2 linked regions of the Styela clava genome follow. The protein of the gene in region 1 interacts with the protein of each later gene in a biochemical or structural test. Links are inferred from orthologs where the notes say so. Each region holds a gene or a part of one and is shown on either strand. Other genes may lie near its edges.

The links.
Region 2: the proteins of E3 ubiquitin-protein ligase MYLIP-like (region 1) and protein canopy homolog 1-like form a complex in vitro, tested with the Homo sapiens proteins (2 studies listed by BioGRID). The link is inferred for Styela clava from reciprocal best matches to the Homo sapiens genes MYLIP and CNPY2.

Annotation. Positions count from the first base shown.
Region 1 is NC_135262.1:4,059,067-4,069,211, reverse strand, and holds the start of E3 ubiquitin-protein ligase MYLIP-like, read left to right. Parts: upstream 1-5,897; 5' UTR 5,898-5,906; coding exon 5,907-5,956; intron 5,957-6,459; coding exon 6,460-6,652; intron 6,653-7,453; coding exon 7,454-7,644; intron 7,645-8,151; coding exon 8,152-8,343; intron 8,344-8,724; coding exon 8,725-8,964; intron 8,965-9,770; coding exon 9,771-9,905; intron 9,906-10,145. UniProt on the Homo sapiens protein: E3 ubiquitin-protein ligase that mediates ubiquitination and subsequent proteasomal degradation of myosin regulatory light chain (MRLC), LDLR, VLDLR and LRP8. Activity depends on E2 enzymes of the UBE2D family.
Region 2 is NC_135252.1:241,717-251,791, forward strand, and holds the start of protein canopy homolog 1-like, read right to left. Parts: upstream 4,017-10,075; 5' UTR 3,979-4,016; coding exon 3,861-3,978; intron 3,185-3,860; coding exon 3,069-3,184; intron 2,034-3,068; coding exon of another isoform or gene 1,839-2,033; intron 256-1,838; coding exon 146-255; intron 1-145. UniProt on the Homo sapiens protein: Positive regulator of neurite outgrowth by stabilizing myosin regulatory light chain (MRLC). It prevents MIR-mediated MRLC ubiquitination and its subsequent proteasomal degradation.

The sequences.
Region 1 (10,145 bases):
ATATATAATAGCACAAAAAACACTTGAGTTTCAGGTAAGGGGAAATTCACAAAGTCCCAAATAGGAGGAATATATTATTTTCGAGCGCAAATATATATATTACTTAGAAAGACTGATTTGTCATTCTTATATTTTCATAAGAACTGTCATTTCCACAGCCTGATAACCTTGGGTTTAAGTATTTATTTGTCTTCGATCGTTGTACGTGTTCACAGTAAATGATTAGTGAATGTGAATTTATACTGGAATGACACGAACTCCAGCAAACTGCAAAAATCAATCAAAATTCATCGATGGATTTGTTTACTACACTCTATGCCTGGAGGCGTGTACTATCGAAAACTTTGACATAAAGAGTTTGATTTTAAAGTAATGGAAACTTTAACTTGTGTCTCGGAAGTAGCATACATCAATATGTGACATGTGGGTGATATTGTTGAGCATTTCTAACAGTAATTTGAGTTATTACACGTAAGGAAACGTGTTTTCTAATTGTTTGTGTTTCATGTGTAACGCTATACTACAGATTTGACAACGTGAAGACCTCGCATTTGCGCTTTTTTTTTGCGCTGCCAAATAGCCAAAGGCGCGATCCGTTAGGGACCGTTCAGAAAAATACAGAATGAATGGTCAAGAATGTTATGCAGAAGTTCGTTACAGTAGGTCAAATTTGTTTGTAATCATGAAAAACTGTAGGTGATTAACTAATAGGAATGGGATGAGTGAGTGGGTTATAATGCTTTATAAGTTAGATGTAGAAATTATTACAGGCCAGCGCGGCGACCACGGTGGGCCCGCACTTACATTGGAGGCCCCGCGCTAATTTTAGAGGAAGAATAGTAAATTTAACAAATATCAATTATAACATTTTTTTATATACCGAATGTTTTAGCCCCGCACAAGCTCGCAAAGTGAGTCACTGTAATCGTGTTTTTGTACCTATAAAATATAAAGACGAAATAATTTTTCATTTATTATTGCTAGCCAGAGTAGGTCCGGCGCACTTCATTCCGCACACGGCCTCGCAATAGATAATGTCGGTCATGGATTGTTGTATGGTCCCAAACGTCATTCGAATGGCCTCATCCGTAGAAGCCACTTTGGGCTTTGGGCTTATTTGACATAATGTCCACGGATGACGAACGAATATTATTCTGTTTTTGCTGCTCAATGACTTTGGTTAGAAGAATAATGTTTCCCCCGAAAAATACGTTGTCAGTATCAGAAGAAAACGAATAATTAAATTATCTGATTCCCGCTCCGTGTACCCCGTTACCAGAAAAATCTAGTGCTTGTTACGTTATTCCTACTGATACCAAATATCGATGACTACATTCAAAGGAGAAGTAGTGCTGTAGGAAGTGGGGTGTATTATTAAGTGTGAGAATTAGTAGGAAAAATGAAATAGACAAAGAGAAAGAACATAGAGCCCAATATAAAAAATCCTAGTACACCGCAATACATTTTGATTGACGAAATGATAAATCGCTCTTTTAGTATTATTAGGAATAACAATTTTTACCAAGGTCGTTAAAATTTGAAGTTGAGTATTTTGATACTAAATGAAATTGTCTAATTTGTTTTGACACTTTTATTCCAAAATTTCATGATCGTGCAGTTTTTGAAGTTCAGAAATCCGCAAATTGGATTAAATCACCAACGTAGATTACAAAATACGATTTCGCTAATTGCTAAATCCCCCGAAGCGAAAAAGTACTTCAAAGTTACGACGACGACGAAATTACCAGCTGATCGCTGTAAAGGGGATCACGGCAAAGTATCAAATTTAACAGTGCGTTGTCTAGCACCATAATCGACCAAGGGTGAATCGCAGTAACAGGGCGCGATTTATCACTCTCTCACATTCGGCATGGGATAATATATAACCTCTCGATTTCTGAATGAGGGAGATCGTTGTTTGTGATGAAACAAAGAAAATCATTGAAGCATGTACTGACTCATTTGTCTCGACAGTGTGAAATCTGCAAAATTGTTTTTCTGTTTTTTTGTTGTTAGCAAACTGTCGTTTGGAGCAGACGTGCTGCTGTCGCTGTCACATATATATATGAGGATATTTTGGAGTTTGGGAATGCTAGAAATATTTGTGGTAGAATTTCTAATATATAACATATGCGGATTCAATATTTCCAAAAGTAGACACAAGGCAAGAGTTCCACGTTCATAATTTGAGAGGAAATATATTATTTCGACATAGTGATATGACGAGCCATATTACCTCTTGCTCGGTACCGGTAACGGGTTCAGATCGTTTGACCAGTTAATTGAAGAACGTTCAAGAATATGGATTTTGTGGGTCAGCGTGTTTAACGAAATTGCAAAATTTTTCAAACGCTTTTGAGTTTGCATAATATTATGAACATGAAACTTTTCGCAAATAACAATATTTTTTCTGTGGTCTGTGACGTCACTCTCAGCACATCGTGGAAAACGAACAAAATATTTACAATGCGAGTGAGTTTGTGGCTTTGTTGTGTTACGAAGCATTTTATTTTGTTTGACAAGCGGTAAATATTTTCTATTTGTGCGGCCAACTAAAGGCGGTAGTGCCACAGGGGCTCTGTTTGGAATTTATAGTTTAATTATACATTTAGTGCAAGGTGTCCATAAAGTCCCCTTGCAATTTCAATTCTGTTTTGAAGTCAGTTTTCAATATATCTTAACCAGGTTTGTTGGTTTTTAATCAGTAATTGTTCTGGTATATATACTTTATTCATTACATTTGTGGTGGCATATGATATCGATAAATTCCCTTTGCAATTTTAAAATATTATTTCAGACTTTATGGACCCTACATATTGGTGTATGGCAATCTGTTAGTCTACGATTGTCATTACATGTTCTGAATGTTCATCTGGGTTACCAGTCGCATGTTCGCCTGTTTCTGGGACCTAATATGCTTTTATATTACGGTAAATGTTAAGACCTACGGTACTGATACTGAGAAAAATAGAGATTCATCCACTTATGCCTAGTAAAGGCGATTGATTGAAATATATTATTTATTAAACCTTGCTTGCGTTCCCTCGTTGACTTATTAAAATTTAACCTTCATAGGTTGTGAATTGTCGAGATAAGATCGAATAGAATTTCCTGTTTATCTTTCAATGTATATGAAAGTTGCAATAGCACTTTCTGATGTAATTTTTCATAAAGAAGAAAAATAAAACGCGATGGCTAGCCTACATGTTTCAATAAATACACTAAGAACAAGTTTTTCCAATACACCGAAATAAATTTATTTGAAAACAACAGCACCCATTAATTGTGCTCAGTGTTTGTTTACGCTTAAATAATGTTTTTATTTCGTACCAGAGTTGATTAAATTATCCGAAATGAAAGAAGATTTTTTTCAACCCATTTTCACACATATACCTGTGATATAAGGCCAATTTTAAATTGTGTTTCCCCAATACGAAGACCGGACACCGACCAACCATGTAATGTAATAATAATCATTTTCGTCTCCTCAATGTACTTGTGTATTAGAATATTTCGTTGTAAAATCATCTATTCAATGCAAAAATATAATAAAATTAAACTTCCGCAGTGAAGTTCAATAGAGGGTGTTTTCTATTAACACATATCCTCGTCGATTGAGTAATTTAAATATTGCTTCGTGTAAATTGATTATTTACAAGTCGAAATCAATGTCCCATTGCGCCGCAACACAAGTTTGACATGTTTTTCCTTGTTTTGAATTTCCGTAACTAACAGTTGGGGTTACGTGAAACTAACTACCTTTCCTTGCTCTATGGCTTTGTGCTGATGAATCCGTATGCGTATTACGCAAGGGTGCTATATAGCAAGAGTGTAAATGACTATTCTATTCAATTCAAGAGTCTTGCTGCACACTTACACAAATATATTTCTGTAACGTTTCGTCTGACCAAGGTCAGACTTCTACAGACAAGCATTTTACAACTATGACAAGAAACGCAATTGCATGCACATAAATAATGGCATCAAAATTTGGGTTAGAAAGAAATAACTAAGATTGGAACAGTGCCAGAACTCTAAAACCGAAATTTTGATACCATTTTTTATGTGCATGCAATTGCGTTTCTTGTCATAGTTGTAAACTGCTTGTCTGAAAAAGTCTGACCTTGGTCAGACGAAAAGTTACAGAAATATATTTGTGTAAGTGTGCATCAAGACTCTTGAATTAAATAGAATTTAAATTTCCGATTTAGAGAAAATTGATTTGTTGTTTATTTGATGGTTAATCGACGAAAGCCAAGTTGACGAGGTGCAGACGTGTTTCGTGGGCGGAATCAAGAACGACAACTTCGAGTAAATATGTTCGCCGTATCAGTATTAGTGTCTTATATTTCTTGTATAATCGATTTTAATCGAGAGCAAGCTTTTTACGGTACGTTTTCGCACATAAGTGTGTTTTTTATTGCCTCATTATTTTGTTATATTTCATGCTTGACCACCGTCATACGAATATTGCAATGATGGAATATCCCTGTCAATCATTTTTAGTACTATCATTTAAATTTCACATATTTTTGCCCAAACACGAATATCAAGAATTAAAAAAAATGATTGAAGAAAAATTTGAAGGAAGATTTTCGTGTACATTAGCCTTCCATCGCATCATACATACCGATACTAGAAACTTGTGCAAAATTGCAGTGTACGCTTATAAATAATGCGCAATATATGAGTACTGGATGAATGTTTATTGGAATACCTATGTGCCTTATACTATTATTTCATCATTATATACAATAAAACTGTAGTGAAACATGGACCATATGCAACTATCCGTATTGCATTGATGTGTGATGAACAATTCAGGTCAGGTATATCGTCACTTCCGGGATTATTGTCCATTCATCGTGTTTAATCGATGATTATTGAGTTGAGAGGCTACGGTTGGCCATTCGGCAGAGAATATTATTTTATGCAAACATTTTCTGACTTTAGGTTAAATGGGACTCTAAAAAGATTATACAAATAACCAATTTTCATCACCAAACCTTTTCAAAGAGTACATCGAAAGAAAATCTTACCTGATAATTGTGTGAGCAAAATAAATCGAGTGGAAAACCGCTAATAAAGCAGCGTCTTTGCGGAACTGGCGATTTGTACCATAGAGTAGCCTATCACTATTCCAAACGGGTTTTGCACGAACTCGCTTCCCCTAAAATAACGCCGAAAACTGGAATGGCGCAATCGTTTATATTGCTTTAATAACTTTTGATGGCATGTAATTGCCGGCATAACAAATTTGTTCGCTATATTGCCTGCAAATTTGGGTGTCGCATTTCAAACTTAACGCAGAAACCCGTTCTAAACAAATTTGATTTTGGTTGCATGTTATGAAGGAAGTATGATAAAAAAAATTTATTATTTTGGCGTGTGGTTAAGAATACTGGTGTTCAGGGCAAGCGATTTGGTTGAATTTGAAGCTCAAAAAAAATGCTTAAACTCAATTTAGTTTCGAATTCATAATTTGACGCATTATTGAATGTAAATTTACCGAATAATGTTCACAAATTGCTTTCATAAACAAATTTCGATTTTGCTCACAATTGCGTTACTGTTTAATACAGCGTTTTTGGTCGCCATTTTGCGGTACTTCAGATCTAGCAAACAACAGGTAATGCCATGTTTATTTAATATTAAAGAATTAATAAAAACGTCGAAATGACGACGGAATATACAGGTTTAAATATTAACAACGCGAAGGTTGCTTTCATACACTGAATCCTTGTAACCCAAACGAGAGAGGTTACTATCGTTCACAAAATTGGTAACCCTCGGTCATATCGATATGTTTCGCAAGTAATGTTACGTCACAGTACACGATTGACCAATCACAATGCGAGAATATTTCACAGCCAAACAAAACCAGCTGACGCTCCGCGATTCGGTAGATGAAAATGTTTCCCTCGGAAGGTCGGTGGCGGTCATCCCTCGCTCTTCGGTTAGTGATCGTTACTTGAAAAAAGTATCAAAAAGTGCGCTTTAGGCTGTAATATTACTAGCTAAGCTTAAATGGATAGTGATGTTGAAATAAAGACTATTCTGTAAAACTGTGGGCTGGTAAGCGTGTCAAATTACCAATTTCCTGTGACCGCGTCGGTTCAGCGCTGCAGCAAGTCAGTCGCGAGGTCTTTTGTTGCAACATGTGCGCGAAATTTGGCAACGGTCTAAGATAAATACACCTTGAATAAAGGGTTGAAATATTTGTGGTATTGTAACTTAGACAGACAAAAGGATGAAGGAATATCATTAAATATAGTATACCAGAATAGAGTGACGTGAAACAGTGAAAGGTAGCCTACCGTATGAATGCGAATTTGCGATTTTCTGTAGTTAAATGCGAGGGAATTGTCAAGAAAGTATGTAGTTAATGTAGCGACTTCATTGTCACTATATTAGTTACAAATATTATATTAAGTCAATTCAACACTGATTATTTTTCAGACAAAACTTACTTATTAAAGAATTTTTATCGAAAAAAACTTGCACAAGTGGTGCAAACATGAGTCTTCAATTAGATTTATACAATTGGCAATCTGGTCAGATACTGTGCTATGTGTCAAAACCTGACACTCGACCTGTTGTTCTGGAAGTTGATGTCGACAGACATGCAATTGGACAAGATATTTTAGAGAAGGTACGGTACTTGATTATTTTGTAACTAACTTTTGAAATAAACTTGATTATACCAATAGAAAAAAAGGGGTCTCGCGAAGTAAATGCCGTGACTGCTTGAATACCGCTGAACACAAATGTGATATTGAATGCTGTGAGTGCTTAAGTAACGCTAAACAAAAATGGAAATTGAAAATACAACCCAATTTTTTTTTAAATAAAAAATCGTCTCTCGCAAACACAATATCCCTGCTCAGTTGAAAATTGAGTAGGTTTGATTTGAACTAAACGTGTGTTTCAAGAGTTTCTTTCTGTGTCATACAGCCTTTTTTTAGTTACATTAATATTTCATAAATTATCATATTTACCTAGATATAATAAAGTGTAGAACTTCAGAAGCAGAATCTTTCAAATGTTTTCTCCAATTTTTGCTTTCTTTGAAATCTAGTATTTGAAAATTTGGAATTTTTATACCCAATTATTGCCAAAATAGTAGTATTTTATACTATATTATTATTAATATAGTATTAGTATAATATAATATAGTATAGTAATATTTTATTAGTAGCCTACTTCTATTTGAATAATTTGTTTGGCTTAAAAGTACAAAATGGCAACTCATTAAAAAGATGGAGAATTTTATATTAAGTTCATAAAAACATTTGATTCTAAAAGGAAAAGATGACTGTAATCTTCTGTAATAAGCAAGATATTGACAGTCATTTTTTTATTACTTCTCTTTGATTTTTTTGCTTTTGAATTTTAATCCCATATGATGAACAGCAAGCACTCTTGTAATAAATTATGCATATTAATTTCAAAGGTCTGCGATTTGATCGGCACCGTCGAAAAAGATTACTTTGGTCTTCAAGTATGTCCAGTCAAGCGTGAACCTTTCTGGATGAATCTCCGCAATAGGGTCATAGGTCAAATATCTGGTCAACCACCATATCGACTAAGATTGCGAGTGAAATACTACATTCAACCTCATCAGTTACTGCAGGAATCTACCAGGTTTGTGGATTTTTTTTGTTTTATATCAATTTATCAAGTATTCGACACCAAACCAAAATTACGATTTTGTCCTCTTTTCTCTGTTGGTTCTAGTTTTCAAGTGACAAATTTATTTCCATCAATTTATCAAATGATTAATTGGCAAAGCATAGTTGTTCAAAACATCCAATTACGGTATTCAAATGCATTTCTTCATATTGAATATTTTGAATTATTATTTCATTTGGAACATATCACTCACAGCTGTTTTAAACATACTGTTGTTTGGTTCATTCATTTTCCTAAACATGATTCAATATAAAAATCAACTAAAAAAGTTTTGTGGAATGCCAAACATGCTAATATTCAAAAGTTAAAAAGTAACCATTAGTGTAAATGTTTTTATATCATATCTTACATGAATTTATAAAAGGATTCAGGATTCCAAATACACTAATGCGAACTATCTAATTCTATACACAAATTTATAAAATTCGTCAACTAATGAAAAAAATGAAACTATTTCAGACAAATCTTCTATTATCAACTTCGCCAAGACGTCATAGACGGGAAGTTAACAGTTCCGCAAAACAAAATCCCTCAGCTTGCGGCGTACCTTGCACAAGTTGAACATGGGGATTGTTCTGCCATGGATTCAACGAATATCTATAAAAGTTTGAAGTTCGGGGACAAAGTTTTGACAGATGAAGATATTACTGGGTTAGTATCTAGCAGATTTGAAGACACTATATTTCTTGCTATATTAAACTGAACTAGCCCATTTGATTGAATCCTAGCTAAGATGGTAATCATTGAAAAAACATTATGATTGGTGTATTATTCACAGATTAGAATATTACAAATGTACTAATTAAAAGATATATTCAGTTTGAATTACCTGCTCAATTTTTGCGAGTTTGAGATCATTGATTAAACAGTATTTCGAGTGTTGTGATGAGTGTGGCTACTGGCCTAACTTTCACAATACTGTACCTAAAAATATTGTTAAATTTCATAACATAATTTCTGTTTGCCCTTTTTCAACAATATTAATTTTGTTATGGAATTGGTAGTTTAAGTAAAGAAATATTTATTTTTCAGAATTGCTGATTTTCACAAATCATTAGAAGGACAAACACAATCTCGAGCCATGTACTTTTTCTTGAAAGAGGCAGCAGATTTGCCAAGTTATGGGACAGAGGTTTTCAATGGTAAAATTGAAGTACCGCACTCCCACCCTCATATGCCAAATCTCTCTCCTGCAGACACAACCAATGTTTTGATGAGAATTGGTCCATTTGGTCTTGAAATTGTAGAAGAAAAATCGGAAGAAATTAGAAGGTGAGAAAATTTTTTGAATTTATACCGTTAGAAAACGATGATTTGAAAGGATGAATTGGAAACTTACCATAATCAAATGAATTTTTATAAATCATTGAATATCTTCTTATTCCGGTACTCAATATATGCATTCATTGGATTTTTTTTTGAGTCAGTGATTATTTATTCCTACTTTCTACAAATTCATATATATATATATATATATATGTGCGGAAGGTATAAAAATCAGGAACTCATAACCAATAAGGACTTATCATTCGCAGATTTTGTTAGTCATCCATGACTAGTTTAATTAATCACGGTTGTCCTTGAAACTGAATTTAACTTATGATTTCTCTGACCTGGCTGTTCACTGTTTCCTCTAATTTAACAAAGCTGGTGAAACATATGTATATGATATGAAAAACACACGCAGCACGAGTGAAGATAACTATCCTAAGTGATAAAGAGTCTATCACAAAGCACACTAACACAAATGTATTTCTGTAACGTTTCATTGACCAAGGTCAGACATCCCCAGATATATATATATAATTTGATAATTGAATTATATATTTGTGTTAGTGAGCAAGACTCTTAAATCAATAAGATTCTTGAGTTAGCGATGCGATACCGTCAAAAACCATTTACTGAATTTAACCTTTGACTTCTCGGGTCTTGTTAACTCTAATTTAACAAAGTTTCATATATTCTACTTTTGCTTTGGAATTCTTTGTAATTGAATTCCTCATAAAAACTTGGATTTAACTTATCTACCATTACCTTTAGTTCAACAAAGTTTTAATAAATTCCTTATTTTTCTTTAGAATACCATTCACTGCCGTTCAGCTTGCAACGCACACAGGAAAAATGATTGACATTGACACTGTTCTGGACGATGGATCTACAAGTACTCTGACTTTTCGAATGAGCTCAGAAAAATCAAGTAACGCTTTATATAGGTAAGAAAAAGCCCTAATGACAGTAGAAATGTTGGTATTCCCATAGTGTGTGGCGTGTGCACCAGGTTATGCCATAGTTTTATTTCGATTTTCCTTATTTTAGTTCTAACAGGAGTTTGTGGGCAGTTTGTGTTAACCAAGTGAATATACCCCCTACCATACACTTCCGTCCCTTTACACAACTTGATGTAAAGTAGGCGAACAAAATTAGTTACCTCCATTGGCTCCATATCGTTACAC
Region 2 (10,075 bases), on another chromosome or scaffold:
TTTTTCAATTTTATTCGTGCCTTTGCGGGTCACAATAAAAAGCGGTGGGTCACTTTGTGACCCGCGGGTCAGTGGTTCGCCATCCCTGGTATATAGAATTCATATTTTCAATATTCATCTGATTGCTATTTATTTTCAGTATCACCTCATTCTTCCAGTTTCTTTATCTTTATTTCTCACATAATCACTTGAAAGTTCTGTGCAGACAGATTCCAAAACCTCTGTTAGGTGACCTTCAGATCTAGCATATGAAACCTGTTTTTTTTTGTATTTTGTCATGTGAATGTTTTATATTAGCTTTGTTTTTAGAAGTGTAAAATATAGGATTATCTTTATCAGCACAGAAATGTATATGCAATTTTGTACATTTGTGTATATATGTATAGTGTTGTATTTTTGCATCAATGTGGTGTGTGTTGTTTTTGTATATACGGGTGAGAGAAAAAGAACAAAAACAGAATTAGCTAAACATGCTGATCAAGTCAAGCTGATAAACACATAAATTATTTTTGTCTACACAGTGCAACACAGAAATCCCAATAATGGAATTGATTGACAAGTGACAATGATCAGATATTACAAACACTTTGATTGATAAGACCGGGTGAGTTTAACTGAATGTTTTTGTTTTCTTTTAGTACAACTAGCCAGGAAATCAATGTATGACTGATTGACTGATCACTTTAATTGATAAGATCAAGGGCCCCATTGGCCAAACTTCGTAAAAAGCCGCATTTACGAGCACGTAACCTTGTCTCTCAAAAACACAGTTACTACATATCGTTAAGTGCGATTCACGAAACATTTTGTAAAAACCTTACGCCCAGTCACGCAAGTTCTCTCGAAACGGTCTGTTTTACATTTTGCAGCCTGTGACTTAAAGTTTGGGGAATATTGCAGTAATCTATGGATGAATGAAATAAATTCTGAGATACATACTGTTAAACTACTTCTGTAACAGACAACAAAATAGATGAATATGTAATCCCATATTTGATGTTGGTACAGTGTTAGTTGGCATATATTGGTGGGTCCACAGCTACTAGACTACAGTCACTCTTACCTAAATTAGGCATTTAGGGAATTTTCATACCAATTTTTGTATGCAAACACCACGGCATTTGTTGGGGTGCATGTCGCACATACTTGTCTTAGGCCAGTAAGGTATTGAACATGTATCCCGTCTTAGTTGTACCGTTTAATTATTATGTATATACTGTTACAAATAAACACACATACATTTTAACCTGAATTCATGCTAGAAACTGGCCAAACTACTGTTAACGAGTAAAATTTTCCCCTAGTCAGTTTGCGAGCACTCCGGCGCGTTAAAGAACTTGGGTGAATACAGATTCTCAGTAAAATGAGAGAAGAAGGCACTTTACGAGACGTCTGTTTTGGTGAGCAAAAAATTCTCTCGAATATTAACGATACTTCGAGAAGACCATTTTTGCCTTTTACGAGAAAGTGGGTGCTTTACTAACACGTTAAACGATAAAGAAGTTCGGCGAATGGCGCCCCTGGTGAGTTTGAACTAAATGTTTTTTCTTTTAGCACAAATGGCCTGAAAAATTCCAAACTCTCCTTCCCAATTATATGACAAATGAAGGAGATAATGTATGTATGACAAACTAAAAGGTGGAGGTAATAAGCTGATTAAAAGAATGAAACAGACTGTGATAAACTTAGCTAGGTTCCATACACAGGGCATATGACATCATTCGAGATAGTTGACCAAAAATATATCTTCAGGATTCCAATCAAAGGATTAAGTAAAATCAACTACAACAAATTAGTATGATGAAGAGAGCCATGCATCACACATTCTACTTCCTTACAGCATATTTCAATTTTTTGGAGATGTCGCCACTAATTGAAATGTTGTTCAACGCAATTGCCTCCCCATCCCGAGAACTTGTCCTCACATATTCTCGTTTTCCTGAGTCAGATTTGGATTCTGCATAGCCATTCATTTTTGAACATACATCTTCCAATAACTCAGTTAAGTGTATTTCAGATCGGGCATATGAAACCTTTTGTTTTTATTAATTCAAGGATCTTATTAATTGAGATAATGATCAATCGAGTTTCCGTTAACATTTATGGCTAAATTTGTCAACAACTACATAAGCACATTTCTCATAAATCAAGATTTGGTTGTATTCATACAGTTGCATTTTAAGCATATTTCAATTTAAAACAAATTTATGACATACAGATTCAAAATACACAGTCTAACATTCGATATTTCGTTGGATGAGAACAGAAGGGGCCTAAGTCACATTTTTGCAAAATTCACTTTTTTCAATATTTTGGGGTTTTGAGCCATGCTCTACTACAAGGTGGTAGTCTTGAAATTCTGAATTTCTCAATACTAAAAATTTTAGCTGGACTTAGAACTATAGAAGTTAAGAACAGAATGGGCCTAAGTCCAGCTAAAACTTTTAATATTATGAAATTCAGAATTTTAAGACCACCACCTTGTAGAGCATGGCTCAAAACCCCAAAATACAGAAAAAAGATAGTCCCAAGTTCCAATAGGATGGGCATAAACATCAGAAATAAAATGTCTGAAACTTACATCCCTAAAAATTTGTTCAGTGCAACTTAGGCCTAAGTCACCTTGTTTTGCCTTGCATCCCATACAAAAAAATTCAGAAGAATGGGCCAAAGTCCATTATGGGGTTAACAAAGCAGGAAGGAATTGAAGCTGAAGTGCCAAAAAATATTGATTACAAAGATATTCACATCCACATTAAAATAACCAGAGCTCAGGTCTTTACTAAGTGTGAAAATCTAGAAATTCAAAAATAAAAAAATTCCAAATGTTTTTTGCGTTTTTCCCAAAACTCAAAATTGTGACTTAGGCCTGTTCTGTTCTCATCCGTCAATTTGGAAAATGTTAATTGGAAGATTACACCGGTATTGAACTAGCTCTAGTTTTAATTGTTTCTCAAAAAATAAATTCTGACCAGGAAACAAAATGTCTCAAGTTCTTCAATAATTCCATTATGAACAATTATGCATCATATTTATATATAAATGATATTAAAATGATATAACGTCACCTTTGATGACTTTTGTTTTCCATTTGGATCAAGTCTAAAAGTTCCAACGTCAATTGTTTTCTTTGGGTCAACCTTGTTCACAATGTATTCAACTTCGTTGACAATGGCTTTACATGCTGCTCAAAAATAAAAGGTTTCAAAAATCAAATTGAGTGAGGAACCAGGTGAATTGATAATTCGTCTCAGTCAAATGTTCGACTAGGATAAGAATACTAAACAACAAAATTTGATTTATTTACCAGCCATGATGTATCATACCCGAATAGATACTGGGAAGATTTAAATTTGTTTCAAGAGTGAGTCATTTTTATCAAATTTGTACTGCCAATGCCAACATGTTAGGTGAAGAATATATTTTCAAACGAGGTTAATAAAACTTTTGCAGATAGCTGATAATAAAAAACTGACATGGCAGGCAGCGAACGCCAGAAACAAAGTTCAGATTCTATTTGTTTACTGTATCTCATTATCATTAATCTTGGAATCATTTATGTCAGTATGTAAAATACTGTTGTTGTTTGCTTACAGTAAATCAAATTTTTAAAATTGACCCGATGACAGTAAAAAGAGAGAATGTGAAAAAAGTTCAGAAAAATTGAGAGAAATTTCCCAAATACAGAAATATTTAAAATTTTACCCTTTACCTTCTAGTGAATATTTATTATAGTCTACCAATGATTAAGCACAACCTGAGCATAATTGCTGATTTAAAATCCTTCAAAAACAAATGACCACATATAAAAAAAATTATTTTATAAAAAACATTCAGTTTTCAGATAATGTTAGGCCTACCTCCACAGTAAAGATCCAAGTCTTTTTTTCCTGAAACTGCAATATACTGAATCAAAGATAAATGCAGAAATGAATATGTCCATCTAAGAATCATGGCTTGACGACAAAAAAGTTGCATAAAAACTTGTTATACTAAAAGTGTCAAACAAAACATTGAAATCGTTAAAGGAATGAATGAAACATAGGCAAAACAAATTGATGTCGTTATTTCAAAAACCCATTTTTGTACTTTAAATAAGGCTGGTCAAACTTTCAAAGGAATAAGATATTCAAAATAAAATGTCGCTTAAATTTAATAGCAATTAAACTAGGGTGGCTTACCCACTTTGCGGCCATGACCTATCTGCGACCATCAACTTCATCGATTAAATTAATGCCGAAAAAATTAACGAACCGTGACGATATTTCTCACGCGGTATCGTCCCCTTATCCCTCGTAGCTCTGCGAAATTACACTAAAATGCGGCCACAAATAAAAAAGTTACGACCGAAAACCTGACCGAAGAAAAAAAACGGACCATTTTACCATGTCGCAAACTACCCATTGTTCCTTCAAAAAAGCTTGAAAATCCATACAAATATAAGGGATAAAGAGATGAAACTTGACAGGTGGGTAGAGTTGTGTTTCTTTTAACCATCTTTAAAGTTTCGCGTTACTACCTTCAAAGGAGGGGGAGTAGGGGGATGCGCATTTCCAATACGTCAATAATATCTTTGTCAACTAATTTGCGACCACCGTGTTTTTGTCTGTTTGATTGCTGTGATGCGGTGCTTTGTTTATAACTTGAAGAATTTTGTTTGAAATAATCTTGTTCTTAAAATATATGACGGTCAGAAATGCAATTAGAAGCCCATTTTTTCACGCATGGCTGCGTATGCCCTAGTCTCGACGCAGCAGAAACGATGTTCAAGGCTTGAAATCCGTGATCGCACACTGGTCGTTCGGTCGCAAATACGTCTTCAGAGTGTCGTACTTTGGTGGTTTGTATAGCTTTAACCCCTGGTCGTAGAAAGTTAATTCGAAGTTCAGCGTGTAGAATAAATGCCAATGCACCTACGGTGAAAAAATTAACGGGTTCCGGTCAGAAATATTGGTTTTCGTTTTATAGCGGTTTGGATGAAATCGTCCGCAGACTGGCTACACCACCCTACTTATAACAAAATAGAAAATCAGCAATAATGCTCCCACAACAGCGAGGAGTGCGGCAATCCTCTTACACATAATTATCCCCACATTGGATTCACCCCCACAGCACAGCAGCAACGCCGCACACAGACACAGGGTAATCAGAGGTCAGGAAGTGCGATCTGGCAGTCGCGAGCGTATTCAGGTATTCCTAACGATTTGCCACACTACTGCTGCACTAAATACATAAATAGGTCTAAACTGAAGTTAACGATATTTAAAGGTTACCGGTCACCGACTGAAAGGTGAATTATTCACTGTTCACGTTTATAATTTTCGTGTCGAACCGAACCGCAGCACCCTTCCGCAGAATACCGACACGACCTAAGTCAGCATCCTGATCACGAACGCTACCGCCACTGCCAAGACGACACATCGCATGGATTGAACACGTTGGTAAGCTAGTAAATACAGAATTATCGGTAGTGGTGCGTCACTAATCAACACACAGTTCCGCATTTTCGCACGTAAAAGATAACCTTTCACCTCAACTAGTTTTGGACATCATGCATTTCGTGTTATCGATTATGCAATGCTTATGGATGTTTCTCCCCCTTTTTACGGATCAGAATGACAAGTATGAAATCCAGCCCAAATGCCTTCATACCCAGGCTATGCCAGAAATTCTCAACGAATTTTTTACTGAGGCTTCACCGCCGAATATTGATAATGATGAAATAAGCGATTCCACAAAAATTTGTATGTCTGATTGCCAATACCTTTCTGCCACTAATTTAGATACCCTATGCAAGGATGACATGAACCCACTTATCACAATGTGTATCAATATGAGTTCCTTGGCCAACCCAAGCAATTTTTCCAAACTTGAAGCTCTTATAGTCTCAATGACAATTTGCCCAGATTTAATAGCAGTCAATGAAACATGGCTAAAACCAAACCAGCTAGGATCTCATATGAACCTGGGTGGTTATACTTTTTTATCAAATTCGCGTGTTACTTTGAAGGGTGGAGGTGTTGGTCTATACATCAAAAAAATATTACTTTCAAGGCTAGACCTGACATTTCAGTTATGAATGACCGAATTTTTGAATCCATTTTTGTAGACATTTATTTGAAAGATAGAATTGTGACCTGTGAAACAATTTACAAATCCCCCTTATCAGATAGTCAAAGCAATAATCAATTTATCAGTATTCTCGAATCAACACTCCAATCCTTATCGAAAAATAGTACTATCATGGGAGACCTCAATTATAATCTTCTTGAAACAAATAACAAGACTGTAGATGAATTTTGTGAACTGATGAACTCAACTTCTTTTTATCCGGTGGTATCATAGCCAACTCGAATCACTCAAAGCAGCTCTACAATCATTGACCACATTTGGGCTAATATCTTTGATTGTAAACCCCTTAGTGCAATAATAGTCGATCCTATTTCAGACCATCTGCCAGTTCTAGTTTGCATTCCACTGAAGAAAAAACATTGCAAGACAGAAAACGGATACTTTAGGGCTTAGGCAATATAATATCTCAAATTTAGATAATTTTAAACTCCTGCTAGAACAAAGTGACTTTTCTGTCGTGTTCAGCAAAACAGATCCCGATATAGACTTCAGAATTTTCAATGAGTATTTTACTGAATCTTTCAACACTTGTTTCCCTCTAAAGAAAAGAAATACTAAAAATATTAATAAATGGTTTGACAAGGAACTCTTAAAAATGCAGAAAAAAAAGCATAAACTATACAAAAACTATCTTACTGTAAAATCAGAACAGTCTAAATACAAATATTCAGAATGCAAGAAAAAATATGAGAAATTGATAACTGTGAAAAAACAAAATTACTATAAGTCATTACTAGGTAGACATCGTAATGATCTTAAGAAGACTTGGCGTACTATGAACGATCTGCTTGGACGCTCTAAACCAAATTTAACAAAAGTATTTTCTGTTAATGGACAGGAAACCTCTGATCTTGTCAAATAGCAGATCATTTTAATTCACACTTTTCTACAATTGGGAATAAAATGATTGAACGGTTTCCTCATACCACAAGGGATGACTTTAATCAATATATGGGACAGCCCAGTAAAACTTCCATGTTTCTTGCCCCGACATCGGATTTCGAAGTCCAAAATATCATGAAATCTTTTCGGCCTAAAACCAGGTGTGGAATAGATGGAATTCCCTTTAAAGTAATTCGAATTATGCCCTGAAAGTGTATTTGTGCCCTTATATATATAATATATAACACACATATTTTAACTGCTCCTTACAATCTGGTAAATACATAACCCAGTTCAAATTATCCAAAGTTATGCCATTGTTTAAAAAAGGAAATGCGAAAAATGTAGAGAACTACCGATCAATCAGCTTACTTCCCGCATTCTCCAAAGTACTGGAAAAAATCATGTACAAAAGACTCAACAATTTCCTAGATCAAAAAAATTTCTTTTATTCCCAGCAATTTGGTTTTCGCCATAATCACTCGACATGTCATGCAACATCTCTACTTGTCAGTAAAATTTTAGAAGGATTTGATAAGAATGGGTATACTCTTAGTATGTTCTTGGACCTATCCAAGGCATTTGATAGTATTGACCATGACATATTACAGCCAAATTGCACCATATTGATGTTAGAGGTCAGAGCTACAATTGGTTCAAAAGCTATTTATCAGAAAAGAAACAAGTAGTAATATACAATGATGTAGCATCCAGCACATACTGTAATTTGACTGTAGGCACATTACAAGGTTCTATTTTGGCTCCATTATGTTTTTCAATCATTATTAACAATTTTCCAAATTCTCATCTTCACTCTGATATCATACTGTTTGCTGATGACTCAACGCCATATCTTCAAGGCAAAAACTTGCCTGAACTTTTGACCAAAGCAAAAGCGGATTTGAAAAATATTCAAGCACAATTAATGTAGAGAAAACTAAATATATGGTATTTAGCGCGCCAAAGCAAAAGTGTCCAACATCACAACAAAATCTGGATGGAATAAATATAGAAAGGATTAACCAGACGCGATTTTTGGGCGTTATAATTGATGATAAATTGTGTTGGAAACAGCACACAAACCTGGTTCTATCGAAAACAAGGTCGTCTCTTGGTGCTATTACAAAAATAGCCAACAATTTGAATACATCTTGTTTAATAGAAAGCCATATTCGATATTGTGCCTCAACTGATGTTCATCGCCAAACGTCCATTATCAAAAAAATTCAAAGTGTATGCAACCGTTTTATTAGAATAGTTTTCTATAGGGGAAATCGAGAAAAAGTTGATGACTTATTTAAAGAATATAAGCTACTACGAGTTGAGGATTTAGCCAAATTTGAACTATGCAGCATAATGTTCACTTGCTACAATGGGCAACTTCCATCCAGCCTGAACAGATTGTTCAGAGCGAACCCAAATTCAAACAGCAGAAATAAAGAAAAAAATTTTATTCCATATGTTGCTAAAAGTATCTCACAAGAATCCATTCCAGTATGTGGACCAAAAGCTTGGAATTCCCTACCTAATAGCATCAAAAAATCGAAATCAAACTCAGAATTTCGTTCCAAACTTATGCAACATTTGTTATCGTCATATTAGTCGAACTCTCTGTTTTGAACATATTACTGTTTCGGAGCATATATTTTTTTTTAAGGTGAATTGAAAAATGAGGGGACGATTATAGACCCTTTGGATTGAAACCACCATCGTGGAACTTCGAAGGCTACCAAACCACCACCCATCAGAGTGCGATTTCAACTCCACAGGCCACCTCAGCAGGATACAATATGAAACAATGGACTGAATTAATATTTAGATCACCGTTCTAATTCTATTGTCATGCGGAATTAGACAAAGACAAAAGAACAGCAAATTAGGTCTAGGATAGCATACTACATTACATTTACATCAAATTTAAATACAGCCATCAATAGAGTGAATGCTTTTTGTTAAAGTACCATGCTGGGACTTCTCTTCCTCTTATCGGTCATCGCACAAAATCAAATATGTTTTCCCCTTCCCTCACCCCAGGAAACTATACTATTCTCTTGTGATTTTAATTAAACTTGGGCACTCCATGATAGAGAAATAATGATTCTTTTTTTAAAGCATCATCCCAATGAGCATATATACAATGAGTGGAAACTTGCAAAGATTTGCTCATTATGGCATTGTTCCCTGCATTTTTACGTCGTCCAGCTAAATGGTTCGTTGCATATTAAGAAAACGCGTTGCTCGCTGCCAAAATCCCTTGCTTCAGCCGAGTCGGGTGCGAAATTGGCCGTATTAACTTGACTTGAGGTCTTTAATTCTTCAATACATATTTGATTTTGTGTTTCGAAGTATGGTACGCTGAAACCATACAACTATGAGCATATGCTTATTGGGAATGCATATCTATTAGACAGAAAACGTATCTACAGAACAGAATATGAACCAGTCGCCGAGAGGAGTGCGGTTATTTATGTATTTATTAATTGATATAACAGGGGATTTACATATTTATCCAAGGGGAGAGGAAAGCCGAAAAGAAGGCCTAAATATATGGCGAACCACGGCCTCTCTCAATCATAGGTCTGTCCTCCATATGAATCACATGGCTCTGCGAGCTATTCGTTCACTTATTAAAAATACTGATTTTAACTATAAATTACTCTGGGAAATGAAATGTGTGTATTATGTAATGGAGAACCTGAGTTTGTTTCACATATTTTCATGTATTGTAAATTTACAAAAAATATTTATGAAGATTTTGTTTTAGATATATTAAAATTGATTAGAATACATTTTGTTATCAATATGATTTTTGCATATTATTTAATTTTAACGACCCTTTATATAGTCATATAGATACTGTTGATTTGGATGCAATTATACTTTTGTAATCAATAGTGAGAAATATTTCATGACTGCTATTAACTATGTGAGCTATTTTTCTGCAATGCAAAATATTTCCTTCGTCTGCTATTTAATATGTAAATTAATTTTTCTGTAATGTAAAGTATTTCCATACCTGCTTTTACTATGTGGGCTGTTTTTTCGGTACTCTCGTAGTATG